Rattus norvegicus: one gene and its partner. The protein of the gene in region 1 purifies or fractionates together with the protein of each later gene. This does not show direct contact. Links are inferred from orthologs where the notes say so. Each region holds a gene or a part of one and is shown on either strand. Other genes may lie near its edges.

Region 1 (7,610 bases):
TGCCTGCCTCTGCCTCTCCAGCGCTGAGACTAAAGTCATGTACTGCCACCACCACCATGGCTGTAGCTTGAAGCTCTTATTTAAAAATATATAAAGTGGGACATCAGGTAAAGGTTCCTGCTGCCAAGCTTGACAACCTGCTTTTGACCCCTCGGACTCACAAAGTAAAAGGAGAAAAATGACTCCTGCAGTTGCCTTCTGACCTCTACGTACACGCCATGCCCCCTAAAACAAACACCCAAAAGTTAATTTATAGTTTCCAAGAGATCTAAATTAGTGTTGTCCAACAGAAATATGTGTTATGAGTATGATTCTGAGTTTCCTATTAGCTACTTTAAAAAGGTCATCTTACCATAATAGTCATTACAAAACTATGGCAGTATTTTTTTCATTGTCTTTGAAATCCTGGGTGTAGTTTGCACTTAGATTTATTTATTTATTTTATGTATATGAGTACACTATATCCATCTTCAGACACACCAGAAGAGGGCATCAGATCTCATTACAGATGTTTGTGAGCCACCATGTGGTTGCTGGGATTTGAACTTAGGACCTCTGTTAGAGCAGTCGGTGCTCTTAACCACTGAGCCATCTCTCCAGCCCCTGTAGTTTGCACTTAGAAGCATGCCTTTGGATAAGCCACACTAGATATGCAGATAACAGCTACCATATTGAGCAGCATATGTCTAACTGAGTTCCCGGTGTCTGATTCATTTTCTCACACTAGCTCTAGAGTGCTAATAGTTTCCGGCTTATTCTTGACACTTAGCAGAAGTATTTTTGCATTTGTTCTATCTTAACATCTATAGACCTCACACATACAAGTGCCACAGTGCACATGGAGGTCAAGGAGGCCTGTGGGAATCCGTTGTCTTCTTCCACCATGTGCCTCCCGGGGGTCAAACTCAGGTCATCACGATCAGCAGCACAGACTTTTACCTGTTGAGCAATCTCATCAGGCCACAACTTCTTTCTTTCACTCATTCTGTTTGTTTTTTGAGTCAGGGTCTCTAAAGTAGTTCAAGTCCTGAAATTCAATATGTAGATCATGCTGGCTTGAAACTAACAGAGATTGTGCTGAGGTTAAAGTCCTGCATCGTGATGCCTTATTAGCCCCAACTATCTTTTAAAGCTATATTTTATGCATATGAGTACTCTATCTCTATGTACACCTATGCCAGAAGAGGGCATCAGATCACATTATAGTTCTGGGATTTGAACTCAGGACCTCTGGAAGAACAGTCAGTGCTCTTAACTACTGAGCCATCTCTCCAGCCCCTTCCCCCAACTATCCTTTCATAGACCTGAATACCTATCATCCAAAATACGGGGCTATACAATAACCTCTTGGATTTTTTTGTACTTTGTGAAAATAGCCTAAGAGGTGAAATATCAAATTCTGATTTCTCAGCCAAAGGAATGATATCAATTTTCCATGTACTCAGAACTCTGTGTGTGTGTGTGTGTGTGTGTGTGTGTAAATGATGAAAGCAATATGCAGATTACATGGTGAGAAAGAGTGTGTGTATAATACCCATAATTCAAAGTTTTATACCTTTGAAGTTAGTGACCTGGGCTTTCGAACTATGTTTACCCCTTCTTGAGCTGTGTGAGCAAAAGCATTTGAGGATGCCACCAGGAATGAGCTCAGAACTTCCAATACCAGTTTCTTACCCATTCCCCACGTGCAACCCATCTCCTCATCTTGACCACTTGTATTTCTCTTCCCTGCAGTGGTATCTGCTTCATCTTCTTCATCTGAATCTTCACCTAACATCTTCTTCTCCAATAACGCCTGCTGCTGTTTGCGAAGTTCCTTCAACTGTGTTACTGTTAATTCAGATTCTGCCTCTCGGTCTTCCTCTGGTCCCTAATGAATCAAGGAAAAAGTATATACGTATGTGGATTAAGAAGTGGAGAAATTGGGGCTGGAGAGATGGCTCAGAGGTTAAGAGCACTGGCTTTTCTTGCAGAGGTCCTGAGTTCAATTCCCAGCAACCCCATGGTGGCTCACAACCATCTGTAATGGGATCTAATGCCCTCTTCTGGTGTGCATGAAAACACTCATATACATAAAATAAGTAAACAAATGTTAAAAAAAAAAAAAAAGGAGGGTTGGGGATTTAGCTCAGTGGTAGAGCGTTTGCCTAGCAAGCGCAAGGCCCTGGGTTTGGTCCTCAGCTCCGGAAAAAAAAAAAGTGGAGAAATTACTTTCTGAGACACTGCAGTTATGCAGATCTGTGGCTCCGGACTGGGCCCCTATGCTTTTGTCAATGGTTACTAGAAGAATCTTTTTTTCTCAACTAAACCTTAAAGAAACTCAGAATCCCAGCACAGTGAAGTCCCAAGATTTTTTTTTCAATGTGGAAAGGTTTAATGAGAGAAGAGAAGAAGAAGAGAGGAAAGGCCGGCCATGGGCACGTGGGGGGAAAGGGGAAGATGGGGAGAGAAGGGACAGGGACAAAGAGGGCACGAGAAGAAGAGCAAGAGAGAGCAAGAGCCCACGATTTTTATTTTAGATTTTTCTACCTACCTGAAGGATAAAGAGCCGAGTGCTGCCTCCAAAGCGAATAACGTGCCCGACATGGACTCTACAGTAAGTGCGGGGTGGGATGCGAGTTTTGTTGAGGAAAGTGCCGTGGGTACTTCCCAGATCATAGAGATAAAAGCCCTGCCCCTGATCCTCAGAGTCTCCGCTGGGATCCGACCCCCGGTGCTGTAGTACAGCATGGTACCGAGACACGGAAGGATGCTCCAGGCATATGTCACAGCTAGCAAGCCTCCCGAAAAGGCAGTAGCTCGTGTCTTTCAAGGTGCGTGTACCAAGGATGGTGCCACCCTTCAGGGTTTCGAGACTGTAAGGGGCCGTGGCTGGGCTGCCCCACGATGGCTCTTGGTACGGGGGAGCCCGGGTCGGACCGCCAGAAGCAGGAGCTACCCTCGGAGAGCGGAGCTGTTCCACCGGTGGACCCCCAGTCTCCTCGCTGTCCGGCTGCGGTGGCGAGACCTCGGGCTCCCCACATCCAGAGTCTAGCTGCGCCGTGCTACATTCCTTCTTCACATCTTCAGGAACTGATGGACTGGAGGCCGGAGCCTTACTCCGCACTGCGGGAGGCACCGGCAAAACAGGCTTCTTAAACTCGCTACTAACATCCTGAGGTGCTGGCGCTTCTAACTGAGAGGTAGCATCAGCCATCCTCAGACGGGTGCAATCTCAAAATGTGTCCCTCGGAAACCCCTACCCCTCGCCCCCCATGTTCCTGCTCACGTCTCCTCCTCCTTCTCAGGTCCCTGACGTTTCTCTGGATTGCAACGTTGGAGTTCCCCTTTCAAAACTCACAGAACTTTAAAGTTGTGAATAGCACTAGGGAGTGACAATACCAGAAAGGGGGGAGGAGCTCTAGGAGTGCTGTGCAGAACACGGACATTTTTAGGCGTTGCAACCGGATAGTAATAACTTCCTGTGGCAGAGGGCGCTTGGGAAGAAGTGCTTCCGGTGGCCTTGGCCCATTAATCAATAAACAAGGCTCCTAGGCTTGACCTAGTCGTCGACTCGGACCTGTCAGAGTCAAGGCAGCCGCGTAGACCACTCCTGAGACAGGGCGGTGAGTGTTTGAGCTTTATTTTCTGGTTCAGGGTCAGAACGTCCCATTTTTCTGCTGCCCTGTAAATCAGACTTCCCAGGATCCTGTGGTTGGCGCCTAAGCCTAAGCCTGCAGATACCGAGCAAGGTATCTTGCTCCTACTCTGCAGCTCCCGAATTTAGGCTTGATAACTCCTTTACTCCTTTTGTGAAGTTGGGAAAGAAGCAATTTCTTGTTTGTTCATTCTTTTATTATTCGTAACAAACTGTTGAAGCAGCATGTTTAGTGGCTTTACGAACCTGTGCATCGAAACCTCTTTTCTCTTTAACTCTTTGTATTTACGACGTTGGCACGACACTGCACCACAGCTTCCACATCTGAAAAATTGCAAATAGTAGTGTTATTTTTAATAAGATTGTTGGAAAATTGAACTAAGCAGTAGTTTATATTATAACTCTTTGACAGAGGCCCGGATACTATACGAAGATGGTAGCTGTAACAAGTGGGAGAATGCAGATGAATAAGTAAACTAAAGTTAAGGTCCAGGGATAAAAGCAAATGAATGTGAGAATACAAAGAAAGGGGGTGTGTTGGGGAAATGTTGGGGGATGGCCATTTCAGTTGTCTTAAAGAACAAATTCAAGTCTGACAAAGATGTAGAAGGCGGCAGAGGATTCTGGCAGAGATCCCAACTCAAAGGTTCAATTATAAAAATGTCTGATGTTCTCAAGAAGCTGAGTAATGGGGCTGGAGAGATGGTTCTGTGGTTAACAGTGCTTGCTGCTCTTCCAGTGGACCTGGGTTCCATTTCTAGTGCCCACTTCAGGACAGTTCACAACCACCTCTAATTCCAGCTCCAGCGGGATCTGATGCCCTCTTCAGATCTCCTTGGCACCTACATACACATGGAGCATACCTACATACCCAACCCCCAACAGACAACAATAAAAATAAAATCTCTGTGAATTCATGGCCAGCCTGGTCTACAGAGCAAGTTCCAGGACAGCCGAGGCTACACAGAGAAACCCTGTCTTGAAATTAATTGATTGATTGATTGATTGATTGATTAAAAATAAAATACATTCTTAGCAAAGAAAATAAACTGAGGGGCCAGTTAGATGGCTCAGGAGGTAAAGGCACCTGCTACCAAGTCTGACAACCCGAGTTCAATCCGTGGAACCCACATGGTGAAAGGAGAGAACTGACTCTCACAAGGTTTCTTCTGCTTTTCACATGCACAGACACCGAAAATAAGTAAATGGGAGAGAGAGAGAGAGAGGGAGAGAGAGAGAGAGAGAGAGAGAGAGAGAGAGAGAGAGAGAGAAGAAACTGAGTAGTATATTGTTAGAACTGAGGTCGTTTCATCCAGGAAGCCCCTCATTTACCTGCAGAGCACTGAGCTCATGCCTTTAAAATAGCAGTGTCTGCTTGTTGTTATACTGCAATGGTTTGCTTCTGTTACTCTTCTCTCAGGACAAAGATCTTACACCTTCACACTTCACACTTCATCTGGAGAAGTAAATTAAAGACAGGTAATAGGTTTCATTGAATGGTAAGCCACAGAATTTGACTTTTTGCAAGCAAAAGAAAACAAAAAAGAAAAAAAGCTTGAAAGTGTAGCTCAGTAATAAATCACTTTCATAGCATGTGTTCAGTCTTCAGTACTGAGAAGGGGGCGGGGAGGCAGGGAGAGAGAGAAAAGGAAAAAGTCTAGCAACAGAGCCAAGTGTAGATCAGATTCTGAGAAAGACTGGAGCAGCAGTTCTCAACCTTTCTAAAACTGTGACCCTTTAACTATATAAGTACAATGTAGCTGTCTTCAGACACACCAGAAGAGGGCATCAGATCTCATTGCAGATGGTTGTGAGCCACCATGTGGTTGCTGGGATTTGAACTCAGGACCTCTAGAAGAACAGCAGTCAGTGCTCTTAGCCACTGAGCATCTCTCCAGCCCATAAAATTATTTTCATTGCTACTTTATAACTTTAATTTTGCTACAGTTCTGAATCCTAATGTAAATATCTGATATACAGGATATCTGATATTCCTTATGAAAGTGGTGCTCCCCAAAGGGGTTGAGAACCACTGGACTAGAGGAAGAAATACTTGTTAGAAGGCAGCAGAAGTCTCCCAGACTTCTGGGAGACAGCTCAGTCTATGAAATGCTTGCCATTGCAAGCGTGAGGATCTGAGTTCAATCCCCAAAACCCATATTAAAAAACCCAGGCATAGGTGCATGTGCTTATAAACTTAGCTTGTAAGGAGAGGAGCAGAAACGGGCAGATCCCCGGAATTTACTGTGAAGGGGGCGGTTCTGATGCTAAGGTCTTGTTCTCCAATTGGTTCTTGATTTGTCAGTACAGGAAGCTGGGGGCCAATTGCTGGGCGGAAGGAAGGTACAGGTGGAACTTCCGGGTCCCAGGAGGAAAAGGGAGAGGCAAGGAAGGGGAAAGGTTTTACTGCCATACTTTGGAGGAGGAAGAAGGGAGCAACTGTGTGAGGTCTCGGGAGAGCTGGGGCCTGTGGCCACTGCTCCAGGCGGGTGGTCATGGATGTTTGGCAGGGGCTAGGTGGGACTAGCCACTGAAGTTCGGGGCAGGTGTAGAGACAGAGATAAACATTTTAATAAGGGTATGCTTTTCCAGGTGGGAGACGGCAACTCCCAGCAACTATGCTGAGAAGGCAAGTTATAAAGAACAAACTGGGTGTGTTTTATTGACAGACTCAAGGGAAGATGGGAAGGGGCTGATCCCTAGAGATCCTGTCTGAAAAGGAAGACAGACTGTTGCCTGAGGCTGAGGCCTCCACGCCCTAAAGAATGTGTATTTGCTCATGTATATGTCCGAACTTGGGAACATAAGGCTGGATTAAAGGTTCATGAATGGCACAGCACAGATTGGAAAGCACCTATTAGTAATTTTTTGTTTTGTTTTTTGAGATCTGGTTTCTCTGTGTAGACCTGACTGTCCTGGAACTCACTCTGTAGATGAGGCTGGCCTTGAACTCAGAGATCCTCCTGCCTCTGCCTCCTGAGTTCTGGGAGAAAGGAGTGCACTACCACGTCTGGCCACCTGTTAGTATTTGTAATGCTACTCTGTTTCCTGTTCTAGCACAATTGTGTAGAAATGCTCTGAGTACTCCAGACCTCCCATTTAAGCTTGCTGCCTGTAAAGTATTTAGAATGAGGCATGCTGGGTATCCTGGAATGAATTTGTGCCGTGAAATAGGCAGTGTATATGTTAAGAGTCCCACACACCAGTCACTACTAATTAATGACTTTGATTGTCCTTTTGTAATTCAAAGAGGAATTGTCGCTGTGTGATTGGTATCTAGCAGTTATTTTTCTCTTCATTTCTTCAGGGAGAACATCGTTTGTCCTAGAGTTTTGCTAGCATCTTTTTCAAAGTGATCTTAACTTGCTCTTTATGTCAGAACTCCCTGGACTTCTGACCTTTCACTACAGAAACTTGTGATCTACAGTTGCCAGAGACGTAAACACACTTTAGGGTATCATCTACATTAAACCCAGAGCTCTTCTCTGCTTGCTCTAAAATGCTGAGGTACTGGGGAGAGATCCCAATACCATCAGGACAGACCAACAGAAGTTCCTTTGATCTGCTGCCTCGGGAGTTCCGTCTGGTGGAAGTCCATGACCCACCCCTGCACCAGCCCTCAGCCAACAAGCCGAAGCCCCCCACGATGCTGGACATCCCCTCAGAGCCCTGCAGCCTCACCATCCATACCATCCAGCTGATCCAGCACAACCGACGTCTGCGCAGCCTTATTGCCACAGCTCAGACCCAGAGTCAGCAGCAGAGCGAGGGTGTAAAGGCTGAAGAGAGTGAACCGCTTCCCTCCTGCCCGGGCTCACCTCCTCTCCCTGATGACCTCCAGCCTTTAGATTGTAAAAATCCCAATGCGCCATTTCAGATCCGGCACAGTGACCCAGAGAGTGACTTTTACCGGTAAGACAAGGCATTGCTCTGGTGTTTTTCTTAAGTGATCTCCTGCCCCATGATCCTGTTA
Region 2 (7,460 bases), on another chromosome or scaffold:
AACAATTAGCCTACAGTTGTTGCTAAAACCTTAGGAACTAGTAGGAAAAGAGGCTACCTGCAAAGTGGGAAAAAAAGGGAGAGGAAAAGGCCATAAGAGCTACCAGAAAGAAGGTTCAGAGCAGTCAGGTGAGCTCAGAATCGGACCCTAGGAAAGCACTGTTCTCTGCTGCTGTAAGTGAAAAGTTACGACCAAGTAACTCAAAAACACCAGTAAAATTGGGATTTGGTTACAAGGCTGCAGATTCCAGCCTATATCCTTCCTTTGAATTCAAGGTTTTTTTGCAATTCAGCATTTCCCATAGGAAAGGAAATCATAGAAGAAACATTTTGTCTCCTGCAAACTGCTACTGACACTATGGTTACACAGAAGCTGAGTCACTGTAGCAATAGTAGCTTACCCAACCTGTGGTTTGAGTCCTAGAACCAAAAAAAAAAAAAAAAAAAAAAAAGTATACACACACACACACACACACACACACACACACACACACACACACCTACCTACCTAGTGGCTAATTTTACGTGTTAAGACTACTGTACTACAGTTAGAAAAATATCATTTTTAGGAGTGCATGTGAGGATATTTCCAGAAGTAGTTATCAGGCAAATTTCAGGTGTCAGACTTACAGGTCTAAATTGGACTGACTTTGGCTTTTCTAGGCCTCCAGCTAGTAGATGGCAGACCACAGGACTTCTCAGCTCCATAATCCTGTAACCTGACCCATGCTAACACACTCTTTCATGTATCTTGATCCTACTGGTTCTGGTTCTCTAGAAAACCTAATGGGTGGGGTGGGAGTGGGGAGCTGGAAAGATGAGTCAGTGGTTAAGGCACTCACTACTGTTGTAAAAGTTCTGAGTTTACTTCCCAGCACCCACATGGCAGCTCACAACTGCCTAATGCTGTCTTCTGATATACAGATGTATATACAGAAAAGTACATACATAAGATATATAATATATATGTATATAAAACAGCCATTCTTTTCTAAGCACTACCATGTATCAACTGCTTGTATGAAGGTCATTTTCCTAATAACCCTGAAAAGAACTGATCATTTAGCACTTGCTGGAAACTGAGTCTGGAAAAACAGATTATCAAGGTTCACAAGCAGTAAGTGGCCAAGATGGGGTTCTAACTCAGTTCTGTGTGACTACAGCCTAAGCCTGAATACTCAAGCAACCCTTAGGGGCATCTATATCCAACTCACAATGGTCAATGTTCACCCAACTACCTTCCACCTGATAGGCTGGAACTACAATTTGAGAGATACCAACAGTATTGTTCAACCCAATCCAACTTGTGGGCTGGAGAGATGGCTCAGTGGTTAAGAGCACTGACTGCTCTTCCAGAGGTCCTGAGTTCAATTCCCAGCAACCATATGGTAGCTCACAACCATCTGTAATGAGATCTGATGCCCTCTTCTGGTGTGTGTGAAGACAGCTACAGTGTACTCACATACATAAAATAAATAAATAAATCTTAAAAAAAAACAAACAAACAAAAAAAAAAACTTTGTAAGAATCTCCACACACGGGGTTGGGGATTTAGCTCAGTGGTAGAGCGCTTGCCTAGGAAGTGCAAGGCCCTGGGTTCGGTCCCCAGCTCCGAAAAAAAGAACAAAAAAAAAAAAAGAATCTCCACACACATTTAGAAATCTGTAGCGATAGGGGTATCTATGTCCCTACTTCTAGCTTCAGAAAGTTGGGAGTAAAACCAAGGATTCACCTGATCTCTCTGACTAATCATACACACTACCCAGGATAACCAGAGTCTACACCTTCTTCACCCCAAACAAGCACACACTCTTCCCTGTTCTGTCTGCCTCAAGTGCCCCTGATCCTTCTCTTCTTCCCTTCTAGGTCACTTTAACTTATTCAACTTTCAAGATTTAAATCACAGTCTACAGCCTAGTTTACAGAACAAGTTCCAGGACAGGCAGGGCTATACATAGAGAGAAACCTGTCTCAAAAAATAAAAATTTAAAAATTAAAAAAAAAATTCAACAAGTTGAGCTTATCAACATTGCAACCCAAGAACATGATATTTACATATGAAGCTGGGGGAGGACAACACAGCTCCCAAACAGCCACAGGCTCCTCCATTTGCCCTCGTCTATGGCCAATCACAACTTCAGGAAAGTGCCTAAGCACTGCATTTAAACTTTATTCTTGTTTTGTTATGTTTTTATTGTTGTTTTGAGACACAGTCTTAGTATGCAACTCAAACTGCCCTGGAATTTACACCTGGAACTCCCAGAGATTCATCTGCCTCTGCTTCCCCCGTGCTGGGATTAAAAGGTGCGTGCCACCATACCAAGCTTCTTTTATTGCTTTAGGGGCAGGGTCTCACTGTGCAGTTCAGGCTGACACTGAACTCACATTTCTCCAGCCTCAGTCTTCACAGTAAACTTCTGTTCTTGCACCTGTCACTCATGTAAATGATGAACTGCTTCACTGACAGCTCTCCTACCAGATGACAAGCATGGAGCATACAGGCTGCTACTCTAGATATCTTTCTGTTCTGCCGGGCCTTGGCACATACTGCTGTCAAATCAGGTTGCTGAATGGAGCTGAGTCCTGAACACCCTTCAAGCAGTCTTTCAACTTAGAACACTGAAACGGGTTTGAAGCTGAGCTACTCAAGGTCTCCTCTGTCTCCATGTTAAGTACTAACATCTTCCGTGAGAGACTACCTACTTCCCCCATGCAGAAAAGAGAAATTATGCCCTTTCATAATTCCATTCAGCAGCATTTACTAATTACCTAAGACATAAGGGATATGCAGTAGTGAAAGGACAATGCAGAATGGACACATATTAAACAAATAGAGCCACATGCCAAAGAATACATCAGAAAAAAAAAAAAGATTGAACATGATGTAGTCCCATGAGATTATAATGCTCAAAAAGATGTATGAGATTATAAACCCAAAACACTTTCATCACCCCATTATTTCTTATTAAACATTTATTTATTGAGTATGGGTGTACATATGCCACAGTGTTTACTGGTTTTCTTCTTACCACATGGGTCATGCTTAGGTTGTCATGCTTAGTGACAACTTCCTTTACCCTCTGAGCCTCTTCACTGGCCCTCACCTAGTATTTTACTGAACTGTTTCTGTATAGATACTCAAATACTTTTCATTTTGTGGAAACCACCTTTATAGTATTTGCTGTAGTAACATGCTACATATGGAGTGGCAGGCTATGCCATGTGGACTTGGTGTGTAGTAGGCTGATAATCTAAGCTGTGTAAGAGCACCGTGTCCTGTCTTAGGATAAACACCTCCCAGTGCATTGCTCCCAGTGCACCCCCTTCAGCATGCAATGCACACATCCCATGTATTTACTCTCGGGATGAAAAAGCACTGAAGCACATGACGGCTAGTTTTAACTTGACATCTAAATCACCCGGGGAAGCTGGCAGTGGTTGCACACTAATACCAGTACTTGGGAGGCGGAGGCAGCTGGATCTCTGACTTCAAGGCCAGCTTGGTCTACAGAGTGAGTTCCAGGACAACCAGGGCTAGACAGAGAAACTTTGTCTCTAAAAAAAAAAAAAAAAAAAAAAACAAGGGCTGGAGAGATGGCTCAGTGGTTAAGAGCACTGACTGCTCTTCCAGAGGTCCTGAGTTCAATTCCCAGCAACCACAGAGTGGCTCACAACCATCTGCAATGGGATCTGATGCCCTCTTCTGGTGTGTCTGAAGACAGCACCAGTGAACCTATATAAAATTATTAAAAATATGTAAAAAAAAAAAAAAAAAAAAAAAAGAAAGTTGAGTGCACCAAAATAAATTTTATTTATTTAAAGTGTGAAATAGACAATGCCCAGGGAGTGAACAGAAAAAAGGCAAGATTAGGGTTTATGTATTCTGAAGGTACGAGCATTAAAGATGAAGAAATGGAAGCAAGAGTTCTTTAGGTTAAGAGAGGACCGAGGCAATGAAAGAGGATGCTACCAAGCCATTATCACTGAACTTGGGAATCCAGAACTCAAGGCGGCTTTGACAGAGCTGTTTCTGTGAGACAGCATGAGACAAGGCCTCCCTAGAGAGGCAGGTGAATGTGCTAATGAGTAGACGCAGACGTCCTAGGATACATGTGTCAGCCGACAGATGAGTGAGCTACAGAGTGGATGAAGTTACTGTTGTGAAAATGGACACCTTTAGGGCTGTGGAGTCTGTAATCTCAGCACTTGGGATTGAGGGAGGACTGCGATCTCACGGCCAGGCTGGGCTACAGTGTCCCTCTCAATAAGAAAGTAGTAAACTGTGCTGATGTCTGGGACCAAGGACCTCACCAGGTGCCGGCCTCTAGACTAGTCAGCTCCAGCGGCTTCCCACCTCTCCAGAGATGTAGGGCGCACGCGCAAACCCCAGGGCGCCGGCTCCCACAGCCCGCCCCCTTCCCCGTCCAGGGCGCGTGCGCGTTTCCGCAGAAGCCGCCTCAGAGAGCCGGGCGCCGGGCAGGAACGCTGGCCTTTCGTTCCCGCGCTGCGTGGAGGTACCTTGCCATGGCCCCGTCCCACCTACCGAGCCCAGGGAAAAACAGCACGTCGCGCTGGTAACTGCGATGGCGGGAAGAGCGAATCACTGGAACGTTTCCTCACACGATAGTCCCGCACTTACGTTCGAAGGTTCGCGGCACGTCAAGAACCACACACGCTGTTTCTCTTATGAGCGCGGTCGAGCGCGGAGGACTCCTCTGCGCATGCCGGGTACTTCTCTGTGACGTGCTGCATTGCACCCTGGGAAACGTAGTTCTTCGATACTTGTGCCTTGATGTACTCAATTTATTAGGTCAGAGTTCTTGTTTGTTTTTTATGTCCCTCGAAAACTTTCATATAAATCAAAGGACCAGAAAAGCATGTGTGAAGCCTCGCCTAACATGTGGGAAGTGATGGGATCGGATCCTTAGCACCAGAAGAAAACAACAAAACCACTTCAGATTATTGGGGATAGGGAAGGAGGGCCCCCAGGAAGCATATGAGAATTCTGTACTTTAAGCTAAAGTTTGCTGTGAATTTAAAATTTATCTAAAAATACTTTTAAATTCCAAATAAGCAGTCTTAGGTTTAGAACTCATAATTTACAGAATCTTCCCAGCAAATAAAAAATATGGACATGCAAACATTTAGCTATAAAGGTATTCTTTGGATGCCTACTTTGTGGATTGGGCAGTTAATGCAGTGGTAGGACACTTGCTTAGCATGGTTCTGGTCTCAATCCCTAGGGACTACTTCCACTCCAACTATCTATCCTAATGTATCATACATAACACCTAAAAAGTCAATATGGTTTGGTGGTTAAGAATACTTGCTGCGGGCTGGAGAGATGGCTCAGTGGTTAAGAACATTGACTGCTCTTCCAGAGGTCCTGAGTTCAATTCCCAGCAACCACATGGTGTGTCACAACCATCTGTAATGGGATCTGATGCCCTCTTCTGGTGTCTTTGAAGAGAGTGACAGTGTACTCATACCTTAAAATAAATAAATGAAAGATCACCAGAATTAGAATGCCAGTACTCACATCAGCTGGCTCAGACTGCCTCTAACTCTAGCTCCAAGGCATCTGATGCCCTCTTCTGGCCTCAGAGGGGACTGCATGGATACATATACACCTATACATAGAACAAAAATTAGTTTTGAAAGTCTTTTAAAGCCTATAATCACATATTGTTATTCTCTGATAGAATTACAAATGCTATAAGGTCAAGATCTTTAGACATTCCCAGTATATAGCACTGTGTCTGGCACACAACAAGCTATCAGATATTTTTCTATTAGCAAACCTTAAATTTTTTTTTTTTTGGTTCTTTTTTTCGGAGCTGGGGACCGAACCCAGAGCCTTGCGCTTCCTAGGTAAGCGCTCTACCGCTGAGCTAAATCCCCAGCCCCTTAAATTTTAACACAAACTATTTTAGCACCCAGACTAACAAGGAAAATTTTAAATATATATATATATGGCTTGGGAAATGCTGAGCAATTAAAAACATATACTACTTTTACAAAGAGCCCAAGTACAGTTTCCAGTGCCCACACTGGTGGCTCATAACAGTCTGTAATTCTAACCCTAAGGGTACTGATGCTTCTGCCTGCCTTTGGCACCTGCACTCACGGGCACATACCCACACACAGACACAACATTTTTAAAGTTTGAAAAAATAATTTTCTTTCATTGAATTAGGGCTAGTCAGGTGCCCTGGTTAATTTTAACAATCAAGTTGGCTAGAGCCACTGGACAATGCCGTCTTCACTGAGGAATTTCCCCAGACAGACCTGGCTTGTGGAGAATTGTCTAACGGATTGTAGGATTATAGGAGTGCACTACCATGTTACCATGTTAATCCTAGCCCACTACCAGTAGCACCATTCTCTTGAAAGGTGATCTTGAACTACATAGGAAAGCTAATTAACAGCATTTGAAAGACAGACAGGTAGATGTCTATGAGTTTGAGGCTAGCCTGTTCTATATAGAGAGTTCCAGTCTAGCCAGTGAGACTAGTCTGGAAAGAAAGAAGTCAGGCATGGTGGCATATGCCGTTGATCCCAGCACTCAGGAAGAAGAGGTAGATTTCTGTGAGTTTGAGGTCAGCCTGGTCTACAAAGCAAGTCCAGGACAGCCAAGGCTATTACACAGAGAAACCATGTCTTGAAACACACACACACACACACACACACACACACACACACACACACACACACACAGGAAAAGGAAGGAAGGAAGAGAGAGGGAGAGAGAGAGAGAGAGAGAGAGAGAGAGAGAGAGAGAGAGAGCACAGCAGCTAAACTTGGGCCAGTGAGCAAACAAACTAGCAAGTAGCACTCCTCCCTGTTTACATAAATATCCTGACTGAATTCCTGCTCCACTTTGCTCCAGTGATGGGCTGTTGCTTCAAAAGGCCAAATGAGGGGGATGTTTGCCCGGAAACCGGGAAAGGGAATAACACTCGAAATGTATATAAGAAATACTCAAGTTAATAAAAAAAAAAAAAAAAAAAAAAAAAAAGGCCAAATGAACCTTTTCTTCTCTAAGTTGCTTTCAGTTAAAATGTTTTATAGCAACAAAAATCAAACTTACAGGCAGGCAGTGGCAGTGCATGCCTTTAGTCCCAGCACCTGGGAGGCAAAGGTAGGCACATCTCTGTGACTTCAAGGCCAGTTCAGTCTACAGAAGAAATTCTAGGATAGCTAAGGCCACACAGAGAAACACTGTCTCAAAAAAAATCAAACTAGAATACTAGGCATGGTGGTGCACTGGTGGTGCACTTCTATAACCCTGTAATCCTGTTGGGGATATTCATCAGAGAAGACCACTTAGAAATGGGTATAAGCCACAGAAAGTCTTTATTAGCTGGCCAGCAATTACCCTGGCTGCTTGGTATTCCAGGGTAGCCCCTAGCCTTTCTCTGGGTGAGCTTTTAAGCACAAAAAGCACAGTCTGGATTGACA

Evidence for each region. Proteins that work in one complex are often made in the same cells at the same time.
Region 2: the proteins of Supt7l (region 1) and Sgf29 purify together in Homo sapiens (affinity purification with mass spectrometry; 4 studies listed by BioGRID and IntAct, counting the BioPlex papers as one, with this or other methods). This does not show direct contact. The link is inferred for Rattus norvegicus from reciprocal best matches to the Homo sapiens genes SUPT7L and SGF29.

What each region holds. Positions count from the first base shown.
Region 1 is NC_086024.1:30,650,398-30,658,007, forward strand, and holds the start of Supt7l (STAGA complex 65 subunit gamma), read left to right. Parts: upstream 1-3,530; 5' UTR 3,531-3,605; intron 3,606-6,944; 5' UTR 6,945-7,136; coding exon 7,137-7,549; intron 7,550-7,610. Other genes in the region: Slc4a1ap (kanadaptin), read right to left, coding at 1,675-1,870, 2,534-3,196.
Region 2 is NC_086019.1:190,666,275-190,673,734, reverse strand, and holds the start of Sgf29 (SAGA-associated factor 29), read right to left. Parts: upstream 4,708-7,460; 5' UTR 4,543-4,707; intron 1-4,542. UniProt on the Homo sapiens protein: Chromatin reader component of some histone acetyltransferase (HAT) SAGA-type complexes like the TFTC-HAT, ATAC or STAGA complexes.